Callithrix jacchus: one gene and its partners. The protein of the gene in region 7 purifies or fractionates together with the protein of the main gene of each other region. This does not show direct contact. Links are inferred from orthologs where the notes say so. Each region holds a gene or a part of one and is shown on either strand. Other genes may lie near its edges. The genes, in order: CRCP, POLR1E, MED26, DNAAF10, POLR3K, POLR3B and POLR2H.

The links.
Region 1: the proteins of POLR2H (region 7) and CRCP purify together in Homo sapiens (affinity purification with mass spectrometry; 3 studies listed by BioGRID and IntAct, with this or other methods). This does not show direct contact. The link is inferred for Callithrix jacchus from reciprocal best matches to the Homo sapiens genes POLR2H and CRCP.
Region 2: the proteins of POLR2H (region 7) and POLR1E purify together in Homo sapiens (affinity purification with mass spectrometry; 3 studies listed by BioGRID and IntAct, with this or other methods). This does not show direct contact. The link is inferred for Callithrix jacchus from reciprocal best matches to the Homo sapiens genes POLR2H and POLR1E.
Region 3: the proteins of POLR2H (region 7) and MED26 purify together in Homo sapiens (affinity purification with mass spectrometry; 3 studies listed by BioGRID and IntAct, with this or other methods). This does not show direct contact. The link is inferred for Callithrix jacchus from reciprocal best matches to the Homo sapiens genes POLR2H and MED26.
Region 4: the proteins of POLR2H (region 7) and DNAAF10 purify together in Homo sapiens (affinity purification with mass spectrometry; 3 studies listed by BioGRID and IntAct, with this or other methods). This does not show direct contact. The link is inferred for Callithrix jacchus from reciprocal best matches to the Homo sapiens genes POLR2H and DNAAF10.
Region 5: the proteins of POLR2H (region 7) and POLR3K purify together in Homo sapiens (affinity purification with mass spectrometry; 3 studies listed by BioGRID and IntAct, with this or other methods). This does not show direct contact. The link is inferred for Callithrix jacchus from reciprocal best matches to the Homo sapiens genes POLR2H and POLR3K.
Region 6: the proteins of POLR2H (region 7) and POLR3B purify together in Homo sapiens (affinity purification with mass spectrometry; 5 studies listed by BioGRID and IntAct, with this or other methods). This does not show direct contact. The link is inferred for Callithrix jacchus from reciprocal best matches to the Homo sapiens genes POLR2H and POLR3B.

The regions. Positions count from the first base shown.
Region 1 is NC_133503.1:3,198,850-3,202,349, forward strand, and holds part of CRCP (DNA-directed RNA polymerase III subunit RPC9), read right to left. Parts: intron 1,871-3,500; coding exon 1,721-1,870; 3' UTR 1-1,720. UniProt on the Homo sapiens protein: DNA-dependent RNA polymerase catalyzes the transcription of DNA into RNA using the four ribonucleoside triphosphates as substrates.
Region 2 is NC_133502.1:144,473,317-144,476,816, reverse strand, and holds part of POLR1E (DNA-directed RNA polymerase I subunit RPA49), read right to left. Parts: intron 2,330-3,500; coding exon 2,248-2,329; intron 1,469-2,247; coding exon 1,337-1,468; intron 128-1,336; coding exon 1-127. UniProt on the Homo sapiens protein: Component of RNA polymerase I (Pol I), a DNA-dependent RNA polymerase which synthesizes ribosomal RNA precursors using the four ribonucleoside triphosphates as substrates.
Region 3 is NC_133523.1:15,193,626-15,195,947, forward strand, and holds part of MED26 (mediator of RNA polymerase II transcription subunit 26), read right to left. Parts: intron 1,627-2,322; coding exon 1,552-1,626; intron 933-1,551; coding exon 1-932. UniProt on the Homo sapiens protein: Component of the Mediator complex, a coactivator involved in the regulated transcription of nearly all RNA polymerase II-dependent genes.
Region 4 is NC_133515.1:45,714,018-45,718,224, reverse strand, and holds the start of DNAAF10 (dynein axonemal assembly factor 10), read right to left. Parts: upstream 2,801-4,207; coding exon 2,618-2,800; intron 1-2,617. Other genes in the region: RNA-binding protein PNO1, read left to right, coding at 3,301-3,495, 3,723-3,872. UniProt on the Homo sapiens protein: Key assembly factor specifically required for the stability of axonemal dynein heavy chains in cytoplasm.
Region 5 is NC_133513.1:2,334,473-2,338,579, reverse strand, and holds the start of POLR3K (DNA-directed RNA polymerase III subunit RPC10), read left to right. Parts: upstream 1-1,307; 5' UTR 1,308-1,403; coding exon 1,404-1,514; intron 1,515-4,104; coding exon 4,105-4,107. Other genes in the region: SNRNP25 (U11/U12 small nuclear ribonucleoprotein 25 kDa protein), read right to left, coding at 941-982. UniProt on the Homo sapiens protein: Core component of RNA polymerase III (Pol III) which synthesizes small non-coding RNAs using the four ribonucleoside triphosphates as substrates. Can mediate Pol I proofreading of the nascent RNA transcript.
Region 6 is NC_133510.1:109,362,176-109,365,675, reverse strand, and holds part of POLR3B (DNA-directed RNA polymerase III subunit RPC2), read right to left. Parts: intron 2,045-3,500; coding exon 1,871-2,044; intron 1-1,870. UniProt on the Homo sapiens protein: Catalytic core component of RNA polymerase III (Pol III), a DNA-dependent RNA polymerase which synthesizes small non-coding RNAs using the four ribonucleoside triphosphates as substrates.
Region 7 is NC_133516.1:13,344,881-13,347,499, reverse strand, and holds the end of POLR2H (DNA-directed RNA polymerases I, II, and III subunit RPABC3), read right to left. Parts: intron 2,467-2,619; coding exon 2,383-2,466; intron 916-2,382; coding exon 798-915; 3' UTR 501-797; downstream 1-500. UniProt on the Homo sapiens protein: DNA-dependent RNA polymerase catalyzes the transcription of DNA into RNA using the four ribonucleoside triphosphates as substrates.

The DNA of each region.
Region 1 (3,500 bases), on a different chromosome or scaffold from region 7:
GTATCAAAAAAAAGATGAAAAGTACAATAAATCATTGCTGACTGTAGTTACCCTGTTGTGCTATCAAACACTCGATCTTCTTCCTTCTACGTTATGTCCATTAGCCATCCCTACCCACTCCCTCTACCCTTCCTAGCCTCTGGTAACCATTCTTCTCTCTACCTCCATGAATTGTTAAGTTGTTTTGTTTTGTTTTGTTTTTTGAGACAGAATCTCACTGTTACCTAGGCTAGAGTGCAGTGGCACAATCTCAGTTCACTGCAAACCTCCGCCTCCCAGGTTCAAACAATTCTCCTGCCTCTGCCTCCTGAGTAACTGGGACAGGTGCACACCACCATGCCTGCCTAATTTTTTTTGTATTTTTAGTAGAGATGGGGTTTCACCTTGTTGATGAGGCTAGTCTCGAACTGCTGACCTCGTGATCTGCCTGCAATCACCTCCTCAAAGTGCTGGGATTACAGGAGAGAGCCACTGCACCCAGTTCCAATCTGGTACTTTCAATGTTGCCTGTTAACAGATTTCAGCTGAAGCTCAGATGATACCGCTAAGATGCATGGAATTGCAATCCATTGCCTGCGGAGTGGAGAGGATGGTTCAGAGATAAGTCATCCAATTAGCACTGAAAATATGTAATCTTACAAGAAAAGGAGTGTCAGTTTAGAAAAGCTAATGTCTATGACCATTTTCTTCCCTAAAACAGCCAAGAGAAGGAATGTGGGGAATCTGGTTTTCAGCAATATTTGCAGGACCTAAGGCAACCAACCAAATGCCTAGAGCAACTACACTTTCCAAAGCCTGAATATTAAAAACGTCTTCACATGGTAATCATCTTAATATTTTAAATTCAAAAAGATGCAACCTTGCAACAGCCAGTAAATGTTAATAATTAACCAACCTCCAGTTCTTACATATTCTGTGAAAAGAGCTACCTGGTTGTGTCCTTGATGAAGGAGTAAACGATTTGCCTGTTGTCCAAATGACAATCACCTGGTCTCAACATAAAGCACCTGCCCTGGGCTGCTGTCTCACGGCAGGAAAGTGGGGTGGCTGGAAAGGCAGCCGACACTGTTTCTGCCGCCACTGCCACTGCCACTGAGCCTGGGGCGCCTGTTTTCAACTGCAGTGATCTGGTTCCTAAAATTTAGCCTTAATAGAGAGCCAGTAAAGAAAGCCCCGCCAGCAGAGAAAGGGGCCTCTAGAGCTGTTGAATGGCCAGGCTGGTTCTTTCCTTATCTCTGTTGTTCTCGAGGAAATTCCTCTAAAGTGAGCCAAGGTTAGTGGATCATTTTTCACTTAGAGCAACTCTCTGGGGCTCTAACCAGATTCCCAACAGCACTCTGAGCCCCCGCTTAGTAAGTTCCCAGGAAAGCAGATGAAACTAATTAGGACATGGCCCATCAAAGGCGACACAAGCATTTTCCCCCGCTGTGTGCAGAGACCTCCCCACAACCAGGTCGAAGGCCTTGGAGGAAATCTTTCCAGCACAGAGGGGTCCGAGGTCACTGGCCCCACCTTCAGCTCTCAGCCTGTCTTTACCACGTTTCTTATCCCCAAGGCACAAATATTTCTTTTCAGCTTATTTTTGTGATGTATCCAATTAATCATGAAAGCCAGGCCTGCTGGGATAGAGGGTAAAATCAAATAAACAATCCTCTTAAAGTCCAGGAAACAGCTGCCGGGCCTTTTAACTTCCTGAAACACCAGGGCCAGCTGTGCTCCTCTATGCTGGGTCCTCTTCATCCATTGTCCCGTCGCTGTTAGCATTCTTCTTCTGCTCAGCCTCCGGCCCTGCAGGCAGAATGCTGGTGACAGTGTGGAGAAGAGCTTCAATCTGCTCCTCTGTGAGTCGCTCTTCACTCTCTTCCACCATCTGCAGAAGGAAAGAAAACCTTCCAGGGTTACAAATGAAACTCATAGCCCTGGGTAGCCCTGCTCACCGCGTGTGCTCATGGTCTCAGCCTGGCCTCCTGACACACAGACCTCATGGCCTAGGTCCTCGTGAGTCCTCTCCATCTTCCAGATTGAAGGGTGGAGCCAACTCACATCCTGGACTGAGCCAGTGAGAAGGCTCAAAATGGGTCAGTAAAAATAGAGTTGTAGGATAGCATTTTTCTTTTCTTTTTCTCGAGATAGAGTTTCGCTGTTTGTTGCCCAGGCTGGAGTGCAGTGGTGCAATCTCAGCTCACTGCAACCTCTGCCTCCCAGGTTCAAGTGATTCTCCTGCCTCAGCCTCCCAAGTAGTTGGGATTACAGGCGTGTGCCACCATGCCCAGCTAATTTTTGTATTTTTTGTAGAGACAGGGTTTCACCATGTTGACCAGGTTGGTCTTGAACTCCTGACCTGATGATCTGCCTGCCTCAGCCTCCCAGAGTGCTGGGATTACAGGCGTTGAATCACCGCACCTGGCCTAGTATAGCATTTTTCTTTAAAGAAAAGGAAAACGCTATCCTGGGCAGCACAGTAGAACCCTATTTCTAAAAAAAAATTAGCCAGGCATGGTGGTATGTGCCAATAGTCCCAGCTACTCAGGGGGCTGAGGTAGGAGGATCACTTGAGCCCAGGAGGTCAAGCCATGCACTCCTCCAGCCTGAGTAACAGAGCAAGACCCTGTCTCCAAGGAAAAAAAAAGAAAAATGTTAACAGTTATATACACAGAAGTCAACAGATTGTATATGCACCTCTGAGAAGTGAAATGGTACTTTCTGTACTTTTATATTTCATGAGCACATCTGTAATTATTATTATTTTTTTTTTTTTGAGACGGAGTTTCGCTCTTGTTACCCAGACTGGAGTGCAATGGCACGATCTCGGGTCACCACAACCTCCGCCTTCTGGGTTCAAGCAATTCTCCTGCCTCAGCCTCCCGAGTAGCTGGGATTACAGGCGCACATCACCACGCCCAGCTAATTTTTGTATTTTTAGTAGAGACGGGGTTTCACCTTGTTGACCAGGATAGTCTCGATCTCTTGACCTCGTGATCCACCCGCCTCGGCTTCCCAAGGTGCTGGGATTACAGGCGTGAGCCACTGCGCCCGGCCCAATCTTTTTTTTTTTTGATACAGAGTCTTGCTCTGTCACCAGGCTGGAATGCAGTGACACGATCTCGGCTCACTGCAACCTCTGCCTCCTGGGTTCAAGTGATTCTCCTGCCCCAGCCTCCCTAGTAGCTGAGATTACAGGTGTGCACCACTACACCCAGATAATTTTTTGTATTTTTCTTTATTTTTTTGAAACGGAGTTTTGCTCTAATTGCCCAGGCTGGAGTGCAATGGCACAATCTCAGCTCACTGCAACCTCCGCCTCTGGGTTCAAGCAATTCTCCTGCCTCAGCCTCCCCAGTAGCTGGGCTCACAGGCACCTGCCACCACGCCTGGCTAATTTTTGTATTTTTAGTAGAGTCGCAGTTTCACCATGTTGGCCAGGCTGGTCTTGAACTCCTGACCCTGTGATCCGCCTTCCTCGTCCTCCCTCCCAAAGTGTTGGGATTACAGGCGTGAGC
Region 2 (3,500 bases), on a different chromosome or scaffold from region 7:
TGAGGTCTGGGCGGGAGGCAGTGGGAGGGACAGGGTGCCCAGTTTGTGATCTTCTTCATCACCGGCAGCCACAGACACCCTTCTTTTGGAGATCTTCAGCCTCATGGCTTTGGCTATCTCCATCATCCTAAGGAAGACACAGAACAATGGGAGAGACTCCTCAATGTGACTGTTCAGGGAGGTATGGCAAAAGGTAGCAGCACATTCATGCTCCAGGCCATAAAGACAGAATCCCAAAGGTTGCCAGCAGGAGCAAAGCCCCAGGCAGAGGGACAGGCAAGGTCCCCTCACCCACTGAAAGCCCTCAGATAGACAATTTCATTTTAATGTGCCGCCCTTCGAAAGATCCATGTGGGTGATGAAAAACCAGACTATCTTAGAGCCCTATGGACAACTTTCTTTACCACCCATAACCAAATTTTTAGCAATCAGCATTGAGCACTTGCTAGAATCTGATGGGTTCCAAGTACCTGTTCTCTTTTTTCAGCCCCAGGGCCTGTGGGAACACGGTCTGTGGACAGCTCTCAGAACAGTCCCTCCATGGACTGCTAGGAGAGTCCAGACGGAGGTGTGTTCACTGGATCTCCTAGACACCATCTGGGTCCCTGGATATCACATGCCCCTATATCACTGACAAAGATCAGCTGACCCCACGGTTTAGGTTCCCAGGCAGCTCTGCCCCTACTGTCTGAATCTCCTCTACAAGGTTAGAGGGAGCCTGAAAGGTCATCCCCACCACCAGCTCTCCCAGTCGGGTCAGAAAAATGCAAATATGACATCCCTGCCAAACAGTGGTTCAAGGTTCCACCTGTCCTTGAACACCTCCCCTGGGCAAGCCCTTCCATCTGATTCTGAGGAAGCTCTTCTTACTAAGTGGCAGTTGGGTTCTCCTACAACTTCCATCCTTGGCTGCATCCTCAGAACCATACAAAATCCCTCTCCCCAGTAACAGAAATTCAGAGAATGGAGGCTGCTTGGTTATTCAGGAACAGAATGTTATGGAAAGGCTCAGGTCTGAAGTCCAACTGCTCCCCTCTTGGTTGTATAACTTTGAGAAAGTCATGTACTTTTCTAAACCTGATTCTTCAATTGTTTTCTAGGGAAATCAATGAGATAATGACAATTTAAGACTGTGCCTTGCAAAGAGAAGGCACTCAGTAATGTCTAGTTGCTCATTCAGTCAATTATTGATTCATTGAAAATAGACCTCTAGTTCCAAGTTGTTCCTACATTTAAAAATCCTCAGTTCCCTTAGTGGCGCCTCATGCTTTCCAGTGGTACCAGAAGTAAGACATCAAGGTGCCCTGCAGGGAGCTCTTTATTCTGTTGTGCTCACCTTTTCTCACTGAGCTTCAGGTCCCTCTGTAACATTGTCAGGTCAATTTGGAAGTCATTTATGTGCAAGGCAAGTATGATCACATATGCAGTAATCTTCGCCTTCATAGAATCCGAAATTAAGTTCCGTAATCTAGAATATCAATGGCAATGAAGAAACAAAATTAAAGTCTAAGACAATTTCTCCAAAAGCAAAATAAGAACATCCAAGCGTATTCCCATATGCACTCAGGAACTAAAGGAAAGGAAAAGGAATGTAGATGGCTTGTTTGCCCTCCCAAGGTTCCTGGGCCTCATACACAGTGGAGCAGTGTGCCAGTCCACATTTCCCTCTGAGAGGGAGAGAGAAAGCTGGGCCTACACACTCCCTGGGTACCACTAGCACTTCGAGCTGGTGAGGGCCCTCTGAGTCTGTCCCCGCCTGCATAGCAGGGTTGCTGGGAAAACATTCATTCCCAAATCAACTGTGCTGATTCTTCAAAGCACACCCAGGAGCAGGAAACACATTCCATGCAGATGGCAGGAAGGAAAGCCCACGGGCATTGCTTGTGGGTCTTTCCCCAAAGTCCCCAAGTTGGCCTGCCCTTTCATGCAACGTTGCCTTTGCGAAGAACACCAGCTCTGTGGGACATCACGAAGGGCTCCTCAAAAGAAGTATGTGACGTAAAACAAGTCTCTATTGTAGGACTTCCCAGAGCTTCTAAGATTCCCAAAAGACAATACTTTTCCAAAAAGGACAGAGTAATATTTAGCGTTTGCTGAACTTTCTGGGGCCCCAGGAGACTTCCAAATGGCAGCAATCTCTTTAGCACTGCATATCTGTGGACATGAAATTGAGTCCAAGCCCCCGCTCCTCACTCCCCCTACCTGCTTTCCCTTGCACAGGAAAAATCCCAGAAACCACCCCCTGACCTGCCATTGTTGTACGTCAAGCAGGTAAAGTGCTTCAGCAGTTTGGTGTTGATGATGTGGGGAATGTCAGGTCCCAGGGAATCTACAACACAAAGTTAAGTTTTATCATTTTCTCTTAAAACTCTCAGGCCACACCTCAACCATGAGCTGAGAGAAAAGGCCAACAGCTGGGCCACTGTAATGACCAGAACCAGGTGGTAAGAGAAGCAGGACCCACAAAGCAGAACAGCCATGGCAAAATGCAGACACGCTCGGTGCACTTCTGCTGGCAGACCTCCCTGCAAGAGTGATGCTGGTGAGGGGCCAGTAACAAGAAACCACAGCCCGAGGCCTAAGGACACAGAATTTTTTTTTGAGACGTATTTTTGCTCTTGTTGCCCAGGAGGGAGTGCAATGGCACAATCTCAGCTCACTGCAACCTCTGCCTCCTGGCTTCAAGCAGTTCTCCTGCCTCAGCCTCCCAAGTAGCTAGGATTACAGGCATACCCCACCACACTTGGCTAATTTTGTATTTTTAGTCAAGATGGGGTTTCTCCTTGTTGGTCAGGCTGGTTTGGAACTCCTGACCTCAGGTGATCCACCCACCTCAGCCTCCCAAAGTGCTGTGATTATAGGCGTGAGCCACAGGCGTCCCAGTAGGACGCAGATTTAACATGACGTTAGAAAACAAAATTGTGCTGAAAGCTCAGAGAGACAGAGAGGGAAAGGTGGAATTGGAATGTGAAAATAAGAACTAAGTGGCTGGTCGAGGTGGCTCACACCTGTAATCCCAGCACTTTGGGAGGCCAAGGTGGACAGATCACCTGAGATCAGGAGTTTGAGACCAGCCTGGACAATACAGTGAAACCCCACCTCTACTAAAAATACAAAAATTAGCCAGGTAATGTGGTGTGTACCTGTAATCCCAGCTACTTAGGAGGCTGAGGCAGGAGAATCGCTTGAACTCGGGAGACGGAGGTTGCCGTGAGCTGAGATTGTGACACTGTACTCCAGCCTGGGCAATAGAGTGAGACTCCATCTCAAAAAAAAAGAACTAAGCAAATACAGACTGGGCGCGGTAGCTCACACCTGTAATCCCAGCCAGCACTGTGGGAGGCCGAGGCAGGTGGATCACCTGAGGTCAGGAGGTCAAGAACAACATGGCCAACATGGAGAAATCTCATCTCTACTAAAAAAAACAAAAATTAGCTGGGTGTGGTGGTGCCCACCTGTAATCCTAGCTACTTGGGAGATGGGGGCAGGAAAACTGCTTG
Region 3 (2,322 bases), on a different chromosome or scaffold from region 7:
AGCCCAGCCTTGCAGCCTGGCCCTGCCAGCCGTTGGTGGCTCTCAGGCTGCTCAAGCCAGCGTACTGGGCTTTCCGAGCTGGACAGCAGCTCAGGCCGCCGCACAGGGGGTGTGGACGGCTGTGCCAGTGGAAGCGGTGACGGCACCTGTGTGGCATCAAGTGTCTGGGGCCGTGGTGAGGGGCTGGGCATGGAGCCCTTAGGTACATACAAGTTCTGCTGCCGGGCAAAGGAGCCCTCATGCCGTGAGTTCCGAGGACTGAAAGAGCAGCGAGGGGGCCCCTTGGGGTGGGGAGGCCCTGGAGTCTCGTCCACCCTGTCCAACTGCTGCAGCACTGAAGCCTTTGCCTGCAAGCAGGGCCCAGGGGGTTTACTCAGGCCTGGGGAGCTGGTGTGTGGCCGCACGGCATTGATGGGGATCTTGCCACCGTGCTTGTCGTTCTCACCACGTTCCAGGCGGCTGCCCTCCGGGCCTGCATGCCCGCTGCCATCCAGGGAGCCGGGGAAACTCTCTGGGCTCCCACTGATCCCATTGGTGGGGAGGGGGGATGAGTTGGGGACCAGGGGGTCATGGGTAGCTTTGGAGACCTTGGGTGGCGGCCCCGGGTGGCCAAGGTCACGCTGGTCACCCCGGCGCTTGCGGCTGCCCAGTCTGTCCAGCCGCTGCCCAGGCAGCCTCTGGAGGTCATTGCGGCTTTTCAGGTCGTGGATGCTCCTGGGCGGGCCGGCCGCCCCGACCTCTGGCCGGCAGTTGTGTGCGCCCCCGTTAGCAGAGCCGGTGGCCCCTGCCAGCCCCCGCAGTGCCACCTCATGCTGGTGTGCTGGCTCGATGAGCTTCTGCCAGCTCCGAAGTAGTTTCTTGGCCCGCTTGGCGAGCTCCTCGTTCTTGGTTTTCTTGCGGACGTCGTTGATGAGCTTCCCAAGCCGTGTTTCCTACAACCAGAAAGAGATGATGACATACTTTCAAGACAGGGGCTTCCCCACAAGCTGAGCCAGAAATGGTGGGAAGTGGCCCTGACTCTGAAATGACCCCATTCGCACTGAGCCCTAAACTGCCAGCTCCCCGACACAACCTCTGGGGATTTCTGGCCCTTTGTGACAATATTTTCTGAACCCAGTCCCCAGACCTTAAGGGTCACAGGTGGCTTCTTGGCAGTGCTTCCGGTGCCAGGGGGCTGTGGCCCGTCAGGTCACTGCAAGGACACTGCCAGAGAGGCTTTCTGGGTGAGAGGGTGCCGTTGCCAAGGTGACAGCACAGAGGGCCTGCTTCAAGTGGAGGGCTGGGGATGGTGCCACTCACTGGAGCCTTCCCCAAGCACACCTCTCCCGATGTCCCCCACGTGCCCACAAAGTGGGCATGCAGGATGGGATTAACATCACTCCGTCCCTGCAGTGCCCATGGGAGACCATGATCGTGGGGCACATGCTGTGACGGCACACTGCCTCTCTTGGTCCTCTGAAGCAAAGAGACTGATGTTCCCAAGGACCTGGTTTGGAGCCGCCCCCTGCCCCCCGTTCTGCCCTCCCCCATGCTGGGGTGTGGGATACTCACCTCAAGTGCCTCTTTGGTAATGGGGTATTTCTCCAGGCTGGAGATGACTTCCAGCACCGCCACCATGTTCCGGATCTGTGGAAATAAAAAGCCATTTGTTAGGTGCCTGTCCTCTCCCCCTGGGAGGCTGAGACACCCAGCCCCAGGCTGCTTGGGTCTCTCCCCAACCCCAGAGCAAGAGGAGCTGGAAGCACTGAAGCCCACACTCCAGGTAGTCTCCTACCTGCTCCCTGGGCCAACCTGGCACCCAGTGCTCATCCCCACCTGCCGTTCGACCTCCTCTAGTGCATGGTGTGTGGTCTGCCCCAAGCCCTTACACAGTGCATACCCACCCACCTACCTGCTGAAACCCAGGACTCTTAAATCAGAGCTGCTCCTGATAGTTAAGACGACCTCTACTCTGCCATATGATGGGAGTGGGAGAGGGGACACTGAAGAATTCATTGAATAAAATGCACAAAGCTTAGAAGATCAATATATAGGCCAGGAGTGGAAGCTCATACCTGTAATCCCAGCAGTTTGGGAGGCTGAGGCAGGCAGATCATGAGGTCAGGAGCTCGACACCAGCCTGGCCAACATAGTAAAACCCCGTTTCTACTAAAAATACAAAAATTAGCCAAGTGTGGTGGCACGTGCCTGTAGTCTCAGCTACTTGGGAGGCTGAGACAGAAGAATCGCTTGAACTCGGGAGGTGGAGGTTGCAGTGAGCCAAGATCGTGCCATTACACTCCAGCCTGGTGACAGAGTGAGACTCCATCTCAAAAACAAAAG
Region 4 (4,207 bases), on a different chromosome or scaffold from region 7:
TTCTATCACAAATACATATTACTTTTGCTACAAAAGAAAATTATCTTTTTAAAATTTGCTGAAATTCCCTAGCGTTTCTACAAAAGACAAAGCACTCTACTCCACCTAAAGGAGTAAGCGTACTTTTGAAATGCGTACAAATCATATATTCTTATTTTATTATTTTTTGAGGCAGGGTCTTTCTCTGTCACCCAGGCTGAAGTGCAGTGGTGCAATCATGGCTCACTACAGCCTTGACCTTCTGGGTTCAAGACATCCTCCCACCACAGCCTCCTAAGTAGCTGGGACTACAGGCACATGTCACTATGCCCAGCTAATTTTTGTATTATTTTATACAAAAAGTAAAGATGAGGTTTCATCTTGTAGCCCAGGCTGGTCTTTAACTCCTGGGCTCAAGCAATCCACCCCTCTGCCTCCCAAAGTGTTGGGATTACAGGTGTAGCCACTGCACCAGGCCTATTCTTATTTTAAAAAGTCACAAGTCTGAGCCCTGATCCTGCCACTGTACTCCATCCTAGGCAAGAGTGAGAACCTATCTCAAAAACAAAAAAAAAGAAAAGAAAAATTTCAATCATGTCCCATTTTCTTTGAAAAAGGAATAAATGGCCAGATGCAGTGGCTCAAGTCTGTAATCCCAGCACTCTGGGAGGCTGAAGCGGGTGGATCACCTGAGGTCAGGTGTATGAGACCAGCCCGACCAACATGGTGAAACCCCATCTCTACTAAAAATACAAAAAAATTAGCTGGGCACGGTGGCAAGCACATGTAAACCCAGTTACTAGGGTGACTGAGGCAGACTAGTTTGAACCTGGGAGGCGGAGGATGCAATGAGCCAAGGTCGCGCCATTGCACTCCAGCTCGGGCAACAGAGCCAGACTCCGTCTCAAAAAAAATAAAAAATGAAAATCCTTTAAATGCCTTTTCTTTTTAATGGTAGCTCACACCTTATCCTGCACTTTGGGAGGCAGAGGCAGTAGGATGGTTTGAGCCCAGGAGTTCTAGGCTACAGTGAGGTATGACAATACGACTGCAGTCCAGACTGAGTGACAGAACTACGCCATCTCTAAAAAAAAGAAAACAACAATAAAAAACAAAAAGAACCCCAAATGCGATATAAAGAAATTTTACTTTGTGTAGAAATCAGGAAGGACATCATACATTAGATAATCTGAACTGAACATTAGAATAGCAACAGGTGGCCGGGTGCGGTGGTTCACTCTTGTAATCCCAGCATTTTGAGAGGCCGAGGCGGGCAGACTGCTTGAGCCCAGGAGGTGGACACCAGCCTGGGCAACATGGTGAAACCCCATCTCTACCAAAAAAAAAAAAGTACAAAAAAATTAGCTAGGTGTGGTGGCACACACCTGTATCCCAGCTACTCTGGAGGCTGAGGTGGGAGGATCCCTTGAGCCAGGGAGGTGGAGGTCACAGTGAGCTGTGTTTTCACCACAGCACTCCAGGCTGGGTGACAGAGTGAGACCCTGTCAAAAAAAAAAAAAAAAAAAAAAGCCACAGGTTACTGGACGCTAAGGAAAGGTAAAAAGGAATAGGCCATGTTTCATGTTTGTTATTCAGGGAAATTTCAAGTGGGATGGGGTCTTACATACTTTCTATTCCAGACTTACCAGTCCAAACAACTGTATTCATCCTTTAGCTACCAGTGTAGTCCCTACCTCCTCCAAGCCGATTCTCTCCATAAATTTTGATCCCCAGAGTTCTTAACCTTCCCTGCGCTAGTAGTCTATTACAACCCTGATCTGATTATGACTGATCTTTTTTCTTCTTTTAGGTAACCTAAATTAAGAGTTTTTAAAAACTATAAACAGCTATAAAATGCTAGTGATTATTATTCTTTAATTCTTTCGCTAGTAATCAACGTGTAAACCTAATTTTGCCACACCCTGCTTAAATCCTTTCAATGGTTTTCCATTTTTCTTAGAAAAAAGGCATAAATCCTTTCAATGTCCTACAGCTCTTGTAATGTCTGCTTCCTGCTTACCCCTCTAGTTTCTTAAGGAGATAAACTTCCTCCCATCACTGAGCTTCTGCATATGCAGAAGCTCTGGAAACCTTGTCCTTTACTCCTCGTTCGGCCTAGTTTATGCACATACCAAAATCAGTTTTTACTCATCCCAAATCTGTTTTCACTCTCAGAGAGCCGTTATCATGTTACTTTGTGTGAGACAAGTCATCTCAGTTTGTATTTACGTATCGTTGCTTTGATTACCGAACTGAGTATCTCTCCCACTAGAAAATAAACTCCATGAGATCGGGGACATTGCCACTGACATGCCTGGGAATACCAGGCACTCAACTGATACCTGTCGAATGTGTTAGGTTGCCTCTTCCAACTATACTGCAGGCATACTGGTGCCCGCTTTGGCCGGACTGCACTGGGAGTGACAGGAGGGTTGGACACGGAGGAACTAGCCCGCGGATGAGCATAAACATTTTAAGTAGGAAACATTCCTCAGTCGGCGGTCAGCTTCTCTGGTCTTGCGCGGCTCAAGCTATGCTTTGGGGGGATGCTGCACGAAGACTCTGGCAAAGAGAAATGCAGATCCCAGGATCTGCACGCGCTCCCAACGGCAGTCCAGATGCTTGACCCGGCACCCACCTCCCGAAGCAGCTTCAGGTCCCCGTGCTGGATCTCGTACAGCTGAATGACGCCGGTGCCCCGTGCGAAGTTGCCCATGGTCACAAATTTGGCGCTGCAGGGCACCCACTTACAGTCAAACACCGTGTAGTTGAAGCCCTTCTGGATATGGGCGATGATCTGAGGCTTCTCGAAGGCCGACATGGTCCAGCCGATTTCAGCTCCGGCAACCGCCACACCCAGAGCCCCCCAAAACACCAACCTGGAAACCAGACTCCAAACATGGGCAATTTGACCCTCCTGCTTTCCGTACTCTGCCCCAGATGCCCTAGAAAGTTGGCTGTGGTTATCTCCGGATAATGCCAGATACGCTCCTGCGATCGCATAGAATGTTCCTTCACAACAAAACGAATTTGTTTATCGCCTTTACCCACTGTCTTTAGCACACATACATATTAGAGATTACAAAATACTTGTGCTGTGAGTGGCGTGACTGGAGTGAGACGATGAGCATCAGGCATATCTTAGGACAGCCTACATGCCCTTTCCACCCCGCCCCCAAATTCTGCAGGTCCCCGGCCTGTGGCGTTTTAGGATAGGGGCGGAGCTGCGGGGGTGGTTGGCAGAGGCTGGCTCCTGCGCTGTGGAGCAGCGCACGTGTTTCAGCCGGAAGTGCTTTAAGAATCCCAGGGTTGGAATCCGAAATGGAAGCACAGAGCGCCGGGGCAGAGGACGGCTTTACCCAGGTCACCCGCAAGGGTGGCCGGCGGGCGAAAAAACGGCAGGCTGAACAGCTGTCCGCAGCGGGAGAGGGCGGGGATGCGGGCCTTATGGACACAGAAGAGGCCAGGCCGGCGAAGAGGCCAGTCTTCCCGCCCCTCTGTGGTGACGGGCTCCTGGTATGTGGCTGGGACCGTGGGATAGCAACGAGGCAATGGCCAGAGGCCAATCAAGCCGGTGGCCTCTGGGCTATGTTGAAGCTGCGGGGGGCTGTTTTGCTGAAAGAAGTGATTCTTTGAAGTGTAACTAGTTCAGTTAAAGGAAGCCCTTTGTGGATCAGATGTCATTTTACAACTCCATCACCATCCCTCCATAGTTTCCTGAGTTGTGTGTTCTTTTATTACAGAGTGGGAAAGAAGAAACAAGGAAAATTCCGGTCCCAGCTAACAGATACACACCATTAAAAGAAAACTGGATGAAGATATTTACTCCTATTGTGGAACATTTGGGACTTCAGATACGCTTTAACTTGAAATCAAGGAATGTAGAAATCAGGGTAAGGAAAATCTCAGCCATTTCCCAATACACCACGCTTTCTCTCCTAGAGATGAAAAGGCTTGAATAGACTTTACTTAAGGGGACGTATTCTGTTAAATGGTTTTTGTCCAGTTTAAAAATTTACTATATTGAGTTTGAACTTCCCAAATGCCTTCAAAATCTGCATTTGATACAAATATTAGTTGGATTTGTAAGTTCTGAGATCATACCAAAATACTGGTTCGGCTTCTGTATATCTTTTATAATGTTCAATATCAAATTGAGAAAAGGTCGAGTAAAGAGATTGTCATAAATAGAAGTAAGTAAACAATGAACATAAGTACTTGCTGCTTT
Region 5 (4,107 bases), on a different chromosome or scaffold from region 7:
GTGGGAAATTTACCAGGGTAGCAAAAAACGGTATTAACTATAAATATTTTAACACAACATTTAAGAAGCACAAGGCCAATTAAAAAATCCATGAGCAAAATATCAAACATTTAGAATTGGCCGGGCGCGGTGGCTCATGCCTGTCACCTCAGCACTTTGGGAGGCCGAGGTGGGCAGAGCACGAGACTGAAACCATTCTGGGCAGCATGTTAGATCGTGCTACTGCACTCCAGCCTGGCTCTGTCTCAAAAAAAAAAACCCACTCAAACAAAGTATCGTGCCAAAGCATGTTGGTGCTTGAGGCAAATGGAACAATCAGTGCTACGAATCTTGCTCTTGTTTAAAACTAGATTTTTTTCTTTACTGTAGGCTTTTTTTTTTTTTTCATCAACTTTTACTTTTAAAACTATTACAGACTGGGCGGGTGGCTCACACCTATAATCCCAGCACTTTGGGAGGCAGAGGCAGGAGGATCGCCAGAGCCCAGGAGTTCGATACCAGCCTGGGCAACATAGTGAGACCCCCCCCTCTCTACAAAAAATTTAAAAATTAGCTGGGCGTGGTGTCCCGCACCTGTGGTCCCAATTACTCGGGAGGCTGAGGTGGGAGGATGGCTTGAGCTCAGGAGGTCCAGGCTACAGTAAGCCGAGATCGCGCCACTGCACTCCAGCTTGGGTGACAGAGCATGACCCTGTCCCCCAGACCCCCTCTAAATACAATTACATTAAAAGGTCATTTATTGTCACTCACTAGTGAGGTTTCTGGTGCCTCTTTAAATTTCGCGCCCCAGGCGAGTGCGCCCTACCCAGGTTAAGACCCTCGTTTACACCCAGAGGCGCCTTCTCCCATCAGCACCTTCAGAGGCTGCACGTACCCGAACGCCCCGGCTCCCGGCCCCCGGGGGAACGACCCCAGCCCCCCAGCCTCCGCCCGCACACACCTGGATCGGCAGATCGCAGAGCAGCGGGTCCTGCACCACCATGGCCAGACCCTCCTGGAACACGTCCACGGCCTCGGAGTGAGGCAGCGTCTCCTCTTCGTCCTCATCGTCCTCTTGCGCCTCGGGCCGACTCGCGGCCTCGACCTGCTCCAGGACTGCGCGTCTCAGTAGGGCCCCGCCCGCACTGCCAAGCCGCACTACGGAGGCCAAGTACGCAGGCGCAGGAACGGGGGCCCGCCCCAGCGAGGCCGCCCAGCCATTGGTGCATCGAGGGGAGGGGCAGTTGCAGTGACCAATGACAAGTACGAGATAGCCTGCTGGGCGCGCAGAATCGCCCTGTCTATTGGTTGGCTGGGCGGGGCGGGGCGGCTGCCGGCACCGACGTGAGCTCGAGGCGGGCGGTGTGTCGGCGCTGAGGGACGGCGGGAGCTGCTGGGAGCCGGGCCCTGTGGAGTCGGAGACGATGCTGCTGTTCTGCCCCGGCTGCGGGAACGGGCTGATCGTGGAGGAGGGACAGCGCTGCCACCGCTTCGCCTGCAATACGTGCCCCTACGTGCACAACATCACCCGCAAGGTGGGACTCGAAGGCGGGCGTCTCTCGCAGGACTTCCGCTTCCTCCGACTGCAGCGCCTTCGCCGCCAGCCCCGGCGTGTCTGTGCCTCTGCCCTTTCCTTCTCTCGTTTTTTTTTTTTTTTTTTTTTTTTTTTTAAAGTGAGACATCCTCTCGCTCTGTTGCCCAGGCTGGAATGCAATGGCGCGGTCTCGGCTCACCGCAACCTCCTCCTCCAAGGTTCAAGCGATTCTCCTGCTTCAGCCTGCCGAGTAGCTGGGATTACAGGCGCCCGCAACCACGCCCGGCTAATTTTTTTTTTTTTTTTTTTTTTTTTTTTTTTTTTTGAGACGGAGTTTCGCTCTTGTTACCCAGGCTGGAGTGCAGTGGCGTGACCTCGGCTCACCGCAACCTCTGCCTCCTGGGTTCAGGCAATTCTCCTGCCTCAGCTTCCTGAGTAGCTGGGATTACAGGCACGCGCCACCATGCCCAGCTAATTTTTTGTATTTTTAGTAGAGACGGGGTTTCACCATGTTGACCAGGATGGTCTCGATCTCTTGACCTCGTGATCCACACGCCTCGGACTCCCAAAGTGCTGGGATTACAGGCTTGAGCCACCGCGCCCGGCCTGGCTAATTTTTTTTTTTTTTTTTTTTTTTTGTATTTTTAGTAGAGACGGGGTTTCACCGTGTTGGCCAGGCTGATCTCAAACTCCTGACCTCGTGATCCGCCCGCCTCTACCTCCTAAGGTGTTGGGATTACGGGAGTCAGCCATTGCGCCCGGCTGTCCGCTCTTTCTCGCGCCCCCTTCCAGTCGGCAGCGGATCCCGTGGGCTCTGCTTTCCTGTACACCCGGCTAGGCCGCCGTTTCCCGCCTCCCTGGGTTCCTGCTCTCACGCTTGCGCCCCTTACTGCGTTCGCAGCAGCGGCCACGGCGATTCCGTAAGGGCCGAGTCACACAGGTCCGTGTTGTGCGCAGAAACTTTCGACCTTTCCCAGCTCACGCAGGGGAAAAGCCGGAGTCCTCCAGGACCTACCAGGTTCCGACACTGAGCCGCTGCCCGGCGCTCCTCCTGTTGCCCTTTGCCCCATCAACACCAGCCTCCTGGAGGACTGGCACTTAAGGTTGCTTGGTTCACTCTTCCCCTAGAGCCGGCTTACTCACTGGTCTGGTCTTGTCTTCAACGTTGACTGTATTTTAAGTTGCAGCCCTTCCTTCTCAGTTATCCTCCTTCCCTTTTTTTTTTTTTTTTTTTTTTTTTTGAGACGGAGTTTCGCTCTTGTTACCCAGGCTGGAGTGCAATGGCGCGATCTCGGCTCACCGCAACCTCCGCCTCCTGGGTTCAGGCAATTCTCCTGCCTCAGCCTCCTGAGTAGCTGGGATTACAGGCACGCGCCACCGTGCCCAGCTAATTTTTTTGTATTTTTAATAGAGACGGGGTTTCACCGTGTTGACCAGGATGGTCTCGATCTCTTGACCTCGTGATCCACCCGCCTCGGCCTCCCAAAGTGCTGGGATTACAGGCGTGAGCCACCGCGCCCGGCCCCTCCTTCCCTTTTTAATTGTTTCCATAGGGCTTATTACCTCCTAATATATTATGTAATGTATTGTGTGCTTTGTTTATTAATAGTAGGACCTAAGGTCTAGGCGGGCAGGGTTTTTCTCTGTTCCTTTCCATGTTCTATTCTGAACAACTAAAAGGAAACCTATGACATAGTAGCTGTTCAGTAAGCAGATGATGCACTGTATTATAACTTATTACTTTTCCTTAATAATACAGATTTGCTTTTTAGAATACCTTTACTTTTGTTTTTTTTTTTTTTTTTTTTGAGACACCGTTTTGCTCTTGTTGCCCAGGCTGGAGTACAGTGGCGTGATCTCGGCTCACTGCAACTTCCATCTCCGTGGTTCAAGTGATTCTCCTGCCTCAGCTTTCCAAGTAGCTGGGAGTACAGGCGTGCGCCACCACCGGCTATTTTTTGTATTTTTAATAAAGACAGGGTTTCACCATGTTGGCCAGGATGATCTTGAACTCCCAGCCTCAGGCGATCTTGCCTTGGCATCCCAAAGTGCTGGGATTACAGCTGTGAACTGTCTTTTTTTCTTTTTTTGAGATGGAGTCTTGCTCTGTTGTCCAGGCTGGAGAGCAGTGGTGTGATCTTGGCTCACTGCAACCTCCATCTCCCAGGTTCAAGCATTTCTTACGTCTCAGCTTCCCGAGTAGCTCAGCTACTTCATCCTCCTGAGGCATCTGCCACCACGCCCTGCTAAATTCTGCACTTTTAGTAGAGATGGGGTTTCACCATGCTGGCCAGGCTGATCTTGAACTCCTGACGTCAGGCGATCTGCTTGCCTTGGCATCCCAAATTCTAGGATTATAGGTGTGAGCCACCATGCCCGGCCAGAATACCTTTACTTTTCAGAAGTTAGAACGTCGTGGTGTGACCTCAGTCTTAATGTTTGCATACTACTCCGTTTTGTACTGTGTTGTGGGAGTGTAGAGTCTGAAACTGTGGGAAGAGTGAATTCTTATGCAGTCCTGAAATTTGAGGTTTGGAGGCCCAAGTTTGCACCATTTGGCTACTTTGAGTCTGAAGGCTTGTTTTTGTCAGGTA
Region 6 (3,500 bases), on a different chromosome or scaffold from region 7:
TGAATGCAAGGGGGAGGAAGAGAAAAGGAAACTCTTTTTGAAGGCCCACAACCTCTATTTTTAATGACATGATTCTTCTCTACCATTCTTTCAAAGCAAATTATTCAAAAGTCCTTGTGTCAAATTTGAAGATTTAAGCATAGTGGAACTAGGATCCAGGCATCTTCCTATTACATGATTTATTTTCTTTTTGGTTGCACAGCCCAGACTATAAAAAGCAAGTTCAACATGCATTTCAAAAGACAAACAGACATCTCAGGACGGAAGCAAACCCCCATCTCATTCCTATAAGAAAGAGCTAGGCTTATTCTTGGAATCATGTCACCCGTTGTCTGCAACATTATGGAAGATGAACTGCAAATGGCCACCTCTTCTGTCAGTTTTTAAAATGAAATGATTTCTTCACAGACAAAGAGTCTTCTACACCAAAATCATGAAATAACTGGCTAAAAGGTTTTGACATTTATCTGGCAAGGTATACAGTGTGTTCTAAGAAGCTCATTTGTTCAACTTGTGATTGGCTTTTTTCAACTTAGAAATTAGTAGTTCAGAATGACAAGAAGTTGAGACTCTGTCTGGAAGGAGACTTTACAGTGGGGACTCAATGGGGAAAAGGTGGCCCACATATTCCTCAAACCCCAGCAAATGAATGCTATTTGGACCTAACTATATCTTGGGGATGACCCCTCTCTACAGAAAAGGCACTCTGGGGAGGGCAGGTGAGGGCGATGGGGGCATTGAGGCTGTTTGGCAGCTCTATGCCTTCTGCCTTAGATCTTGTTGGACCTTGCCTCTGATTGAAAAGTAAAGAACTCACTTTTAGATGGGCATGGTGGCTCATGCCTGTAATCCCAGCACTTTGGGAGAGATCACTTGAGCCCAGCAGTTTGAAACAAGCCTGGGCAACATGGTGAAACCCTGCCTCTATAAAACATACAAAAGTTAGCCAGGTGTGGTGGTGTGAGCCTGTAGTCTCAGGTACTCGGGGGACTGATGTGGGAGAATCACATGAGCCTGGGAGATTGAGGCTGCAGTGATCCGAGATTGCACTACTGCACTCCAGCCTGGGCAACAGAGTGAGACCCTGTCTTCAAACAAACAAAAAAATAAAATGCAGAGTATCATTCATCCAGTACTTTTTGATGAAGCATATACCAGGTCCCAGTCTGGAGAAATGAGGGTAAACATGACAGAATGCAATGACAATGAACTAGAAGATAAGCTCCTTGGGAGCAGCCATCACCTGTCTCGTTCACTGCTGCATTTCTGGGGCCTAGAACAGTGTGTAGCACTTAGCAGACACCTACTAAATGTTTGCTGAATAAATTAATGAGACAGACCCAGCTTCTGCCCTGACAGAATCTACAGTACAAGTGTGAAGGAGCTTGCCACGGCAGAGAGTATAGACAGGGGCAGGGTACCAGATCTTGGTCTTGGCACCAATTTGCTATGAGAGCTGGGGAAGCATCCCTGGCTCTTTGGGTCTGAAGTTGCAAATGAAAGCACTTGACATAATCTTCTTTAAAGAGGTTCTTTAACACACTGTTATTCTAACATCCACAATACATCTGCTAGGACTTTCACAGGTAAACAGTGTTGTAAAAAGTACCTGAGATAATACTTAAAAGAAGATAAAGTTTATACTCCTTGGGAGCTTAGCCTCTGGTTGTGTAGGAAGTAGATCATCATATAGACTAATGATACATGCGCATAGAGTATCCCCAATGACAGGAATACACGCATGAGAAAGGGTATGTTAGTGATCACTGACAGAGACTAGAGAACATGCCAGTAGGATCCACGGTCATTTCTTAAGCTATGATTTAAGAGGCAAGGAGTGTGGTATGGGAGACATATGGTATTCACTTACCAGCCAGAATACCCGAGAAGGCCACACTTCCCACAGACATCAACCTCAAAGGCATCACTTGAAATCATTAGTCTCTCTAGCAAAAGCATACTGGCTCCATAACCGATTAAACAGTCACGTTCCATTTCCCCAAGACGCAAGCCACCATCACGAGACCGTCCTTCAGTGGGTTGCCTTTGAAACAAGTTATTAGACAAATGTGTTCTTATTCTATTAAACAAACAATGAGGCAGCATCACATCCTGGCAGAGAACACGAGGCTTTGGAGCAGGGCTCGCCTGGATCCAAATCACTAACTGGACAGTGACTTTGAACATGCGGCTCAGCCTCGTTGTAAAAGTGCATAAGCATACCTATCCCAAAGAGCCTCAACTGAGAAAAGATGTATTATTGATGGTTCTTATGGTTAAATGAAATTAATATATAATTACATAATATCATATGATGTAATAACATGTTAATATATAATCACAGAAAACACCAGTGCTAGCATTACTATTACCATCACTATCATTATTATTAGGATAGCAGAGTTTTCAAATCAGGGAACAAGTTCTTTGAGTATTTTCAAAGATGTCTCAGTATTCTATTATTTAAAAGCAGAAAAACTAAGCAGAACAGACTGTGGGAGAAATCTGGATCCTCCAGTAGTTTCAGCCAGAGCTGTTAGCCCCTTGAATGGATTCCCTGTGGTTTATGTATATGCTGGGCTTGAGAATACTTTAAAAGGCTCAGAATCCAGGACCTAATGCAGGTAAAATTAGGGGTTCTCAACAATTGAGGCAATGCTATGTAGGTATGGATCATACAAATTATTGGGGGAGGGGGAAGCAAGCTCCCTGGCAGGCTTCTTAAAGGTAATCTTTGAGCAGGGGTGACCATGCACCCGTTGTCTGCTGTATTCCATGGCATCTTTTAATCTTTGTTGTTGCTGCCAGTCTCCCCAAGAATTAAGAAGGTGAACACAGGGTATGCCAACACATACTGAAATTTTAAGATTTTTAAAAATTGTGGTTGAAAGTTTCAATGTGAGATCAAAGAAGTTGTAGATTACTTGTTGAAGGGAAATCTACACATGAAGAACTTACAAACAGGTCTAAATAAACACATTATAGTGGAAACTTCATAACTGAGCACATCTATACATTTTTACCTGTAGTAGAAAAACACATGGGTAGTTGCTCCCTGCACCTGAGGTCACTGAACAAGGTAAAGGTAGACAGACCATATGTAGACAGAATCCAATACTTGGATTTTAGCCAACTGAGATAACTGACTACAGACAAATGCATTCAAGGCAGTCTTCATATGGCAGACACAAAAGTAATACCAAAGTAATAACTTTTTCTACACAACAAAGCAAAATATAGGAAATAACTGCTTTGACATTTATGTTACTCTCAAATAGTTTTTGGATGTTGTAACTGAAATGGAAGTTTAGAGGAGACAGCATTTAGGGGAGAAACACATCTGACCCAATTAGGGTCTCACTGCTGAGGTGATTATTATCTTGAGAATCTCCTCTCTTCTCTCTTTGCAATTTTAAGCACACATATGTCTATCATTTCAGTAGACATGTGCATGTGCTCAGTTTGAAATGGTCAAGGAATTGAGTCATCTACATCTCTTC
Region 7 (2,619 bases):
CTGTCCACTTCCACTTACCCTCCCTCCCGGGTCACCACTGGAATGTAGAGCAGAGAGCCAGCTCCTCCACCTGCCTCCGGAAGCACCAAGTCCTCTCCTCCGACTCTTCAGAGTCATCCCCCATGCCTGTAGCTAAAAGCCTCTACCCAAATCTTCCACAAAAATAATGAAATAATGAGACTATGCAAGTGACTCATTCAAGTCAATGTGAACTGACTCTCTAAGAGACTGAAAGTGTTGGAAGGACACGAGCAGGGCTCCTTGCCAATTCAAACTTCTGTGCCAAATGGGTGGTATCTTCTGGGCCTGGGGTGCCCTCAGGAGCCAAAAGCACAACACTCCCTCTCCCAGACAGAAAACCACACTGGAGGATAAACGTTGGGAACAGTCAGCCAGGAGACTGGGATAACCCTGAACCCAGATACCAAAAGGCTGGAATAGATCCTACAATGGCAAGTGATCAGCTGGCTGCGGGCCAGAAACAGTACACCACAGACAAATTGGAAAAAATGATTTTACAGTAAACGAACTTTTTACAAAAAGGGGAGGGGCAGTCTGAAAAAGTAACATTTGATTAAAAATCATATACACAAAGCTTCCTATTGATTTTAAGCTCTCCCACTGTGTCTTTCACAGGCGAGTGAGTTTCTAACTGAGTGCAGGCCAGTTAAAGATGCAGCCACAGTGGACAGGGAACCAGCCCCTCCTCAACAGGTAATCAAGAGCAGCTGCAACTCAAGCTAGAACGATGTCCAGGACCTGAGTGACGTGGCAGCAAGGCTGGCTTCAGGCGAGGTTCAGAAGGCTAGCTTCTTCATCAGCAGATAAACTCTGGAATCCACCTCAAATCCATGCAGGTTGTTGGCATCCCCCTGCAGCCTCATGAGCAGGCCCCCATAGGACACGTAGGCAGAGCTGAAACAGAAGGCCGCATGCCATGAGTCTGGAGCAGCTACTACTCAGCAGCTCTCCATCTCAGCCTAACAAAGAGAATAACATCTTTCTACTGTTTTGTCACTAGGAACCAAAATTCTGACAAAGATGAATGTACAGATATGTGTAAGGCACTGTTCTTTTTTTCTTTGGGACAGAGTTTCTCTCTTGTTGATCAGGCTGGAGTGCAGTGGTGTGATCTTGGCTCACCGCAACCTCTGCCTCCCGGTTTCAAGCAGTTCTCCTGCCTCAGCCTCCCAAGTAGCTGGGATTACAGGTGTACACCACCACACCTGGCTAATTTTATATTTTTAATAGAGATGGGGTTTCTCCAGGTTGGTCAGGCTGCTCTCAAACTCTCAACCTCAGGTGATCCACTCACCTCAGCCTCCTAGAGTGCTGGGATTAGAGACATCAGCCACTGCGCCCAGCCAGCATTGTTCTTTCTATTAGCAAAGTCGAAAAACACCTATATGCTCCAAATCAGGGGAATGGGATCCACTTACTGAAATGTTATCTAACTATTAAAATGTTTAAGAAAGCTTTACACTAACATGGGGAAACATTTTCTTTTTCTTTTTCTTTTTTTTTGAGACGGAGTCTCTCTCTGTCTCCTGGGCTGGGGTGCAATGGCACAAGATCTCAGCTCACTGCAACCTCCGCCTCCTGGGTTCAAGCAACTCTCCTGGCTCAGCCTCCCAAGTACCTGGATTATAGGTACCTGCCACCATGCCCAGCTAATTTTTTGTAATTTTTTTAGTAGAGACGGGGTTTCACTATGTTGGCCAGGCTGGTCTCAAACTCCTGACCTGGTGATCCACCCACCTCGGCCTCACAAAATGTTGGGATTACAGGTGTGAGCCACCACGCCCGGCCAAAACATGTTTTACATAATGTTAAGCAAAAAGCAGAAAAAAGGTAATTAACACCGCAGTCTCAAAGGAAAAATATAGATGTTAAGAACACTAGGATATTAACAAAAAATTAAAAATAAATTTAAAAAAAGAACACTAGGATATGCAAAAAAGTCTATGTAAAAGGTTCTCTCTGGGTATGGAATGACAGGGTTTTTTTTCTTCTTCACATTCTCTTCCGCATTTCAAATTACTTACAAACAGCACATATTGTTTTAATAAGATTTTAAGGAAAAGACACACACACACACACACACACACAGCCTAATAGTATAATCACTTAATGCTGCATTTGGTTCCTCCATACTTTAACAGGGAGATGACCAGTTTCTCTTCTGGACCACTAGGCCAGGAGGGCCTGACAAAGGGCAGTCTACAATTCAGACTGGAAACTGCTCTAATAACCATTTCTTTCTAGTTCCCACCTATGTCTGAGGTGCCTAAGGAGAAGGACCCAACAGAGGAAGCAGAAGCATAACTCAAAGTCTCAGAACAGGGAGGGGGAAAACAATCCTCACAAGATCATGTAACTTACAGGCGTGTTGCCGCTTCAGTAGAAGTTTCGTCTCCCTCAATCCTGTATACTTTCCCATACATTACATACTCAAATTGGTCAGCCCTATGGAGCAAGAGTAGCAAAGTTATTCTTAACAGTAATTAACAATATAAAAGATGCCATTTAAAAATGGTAACTGGTAACTCGATGCCAGCATTTTAACAACAGGCACATTATAAACATGACGCCATTTAGTCCTCACAGCAATTCTGTGAG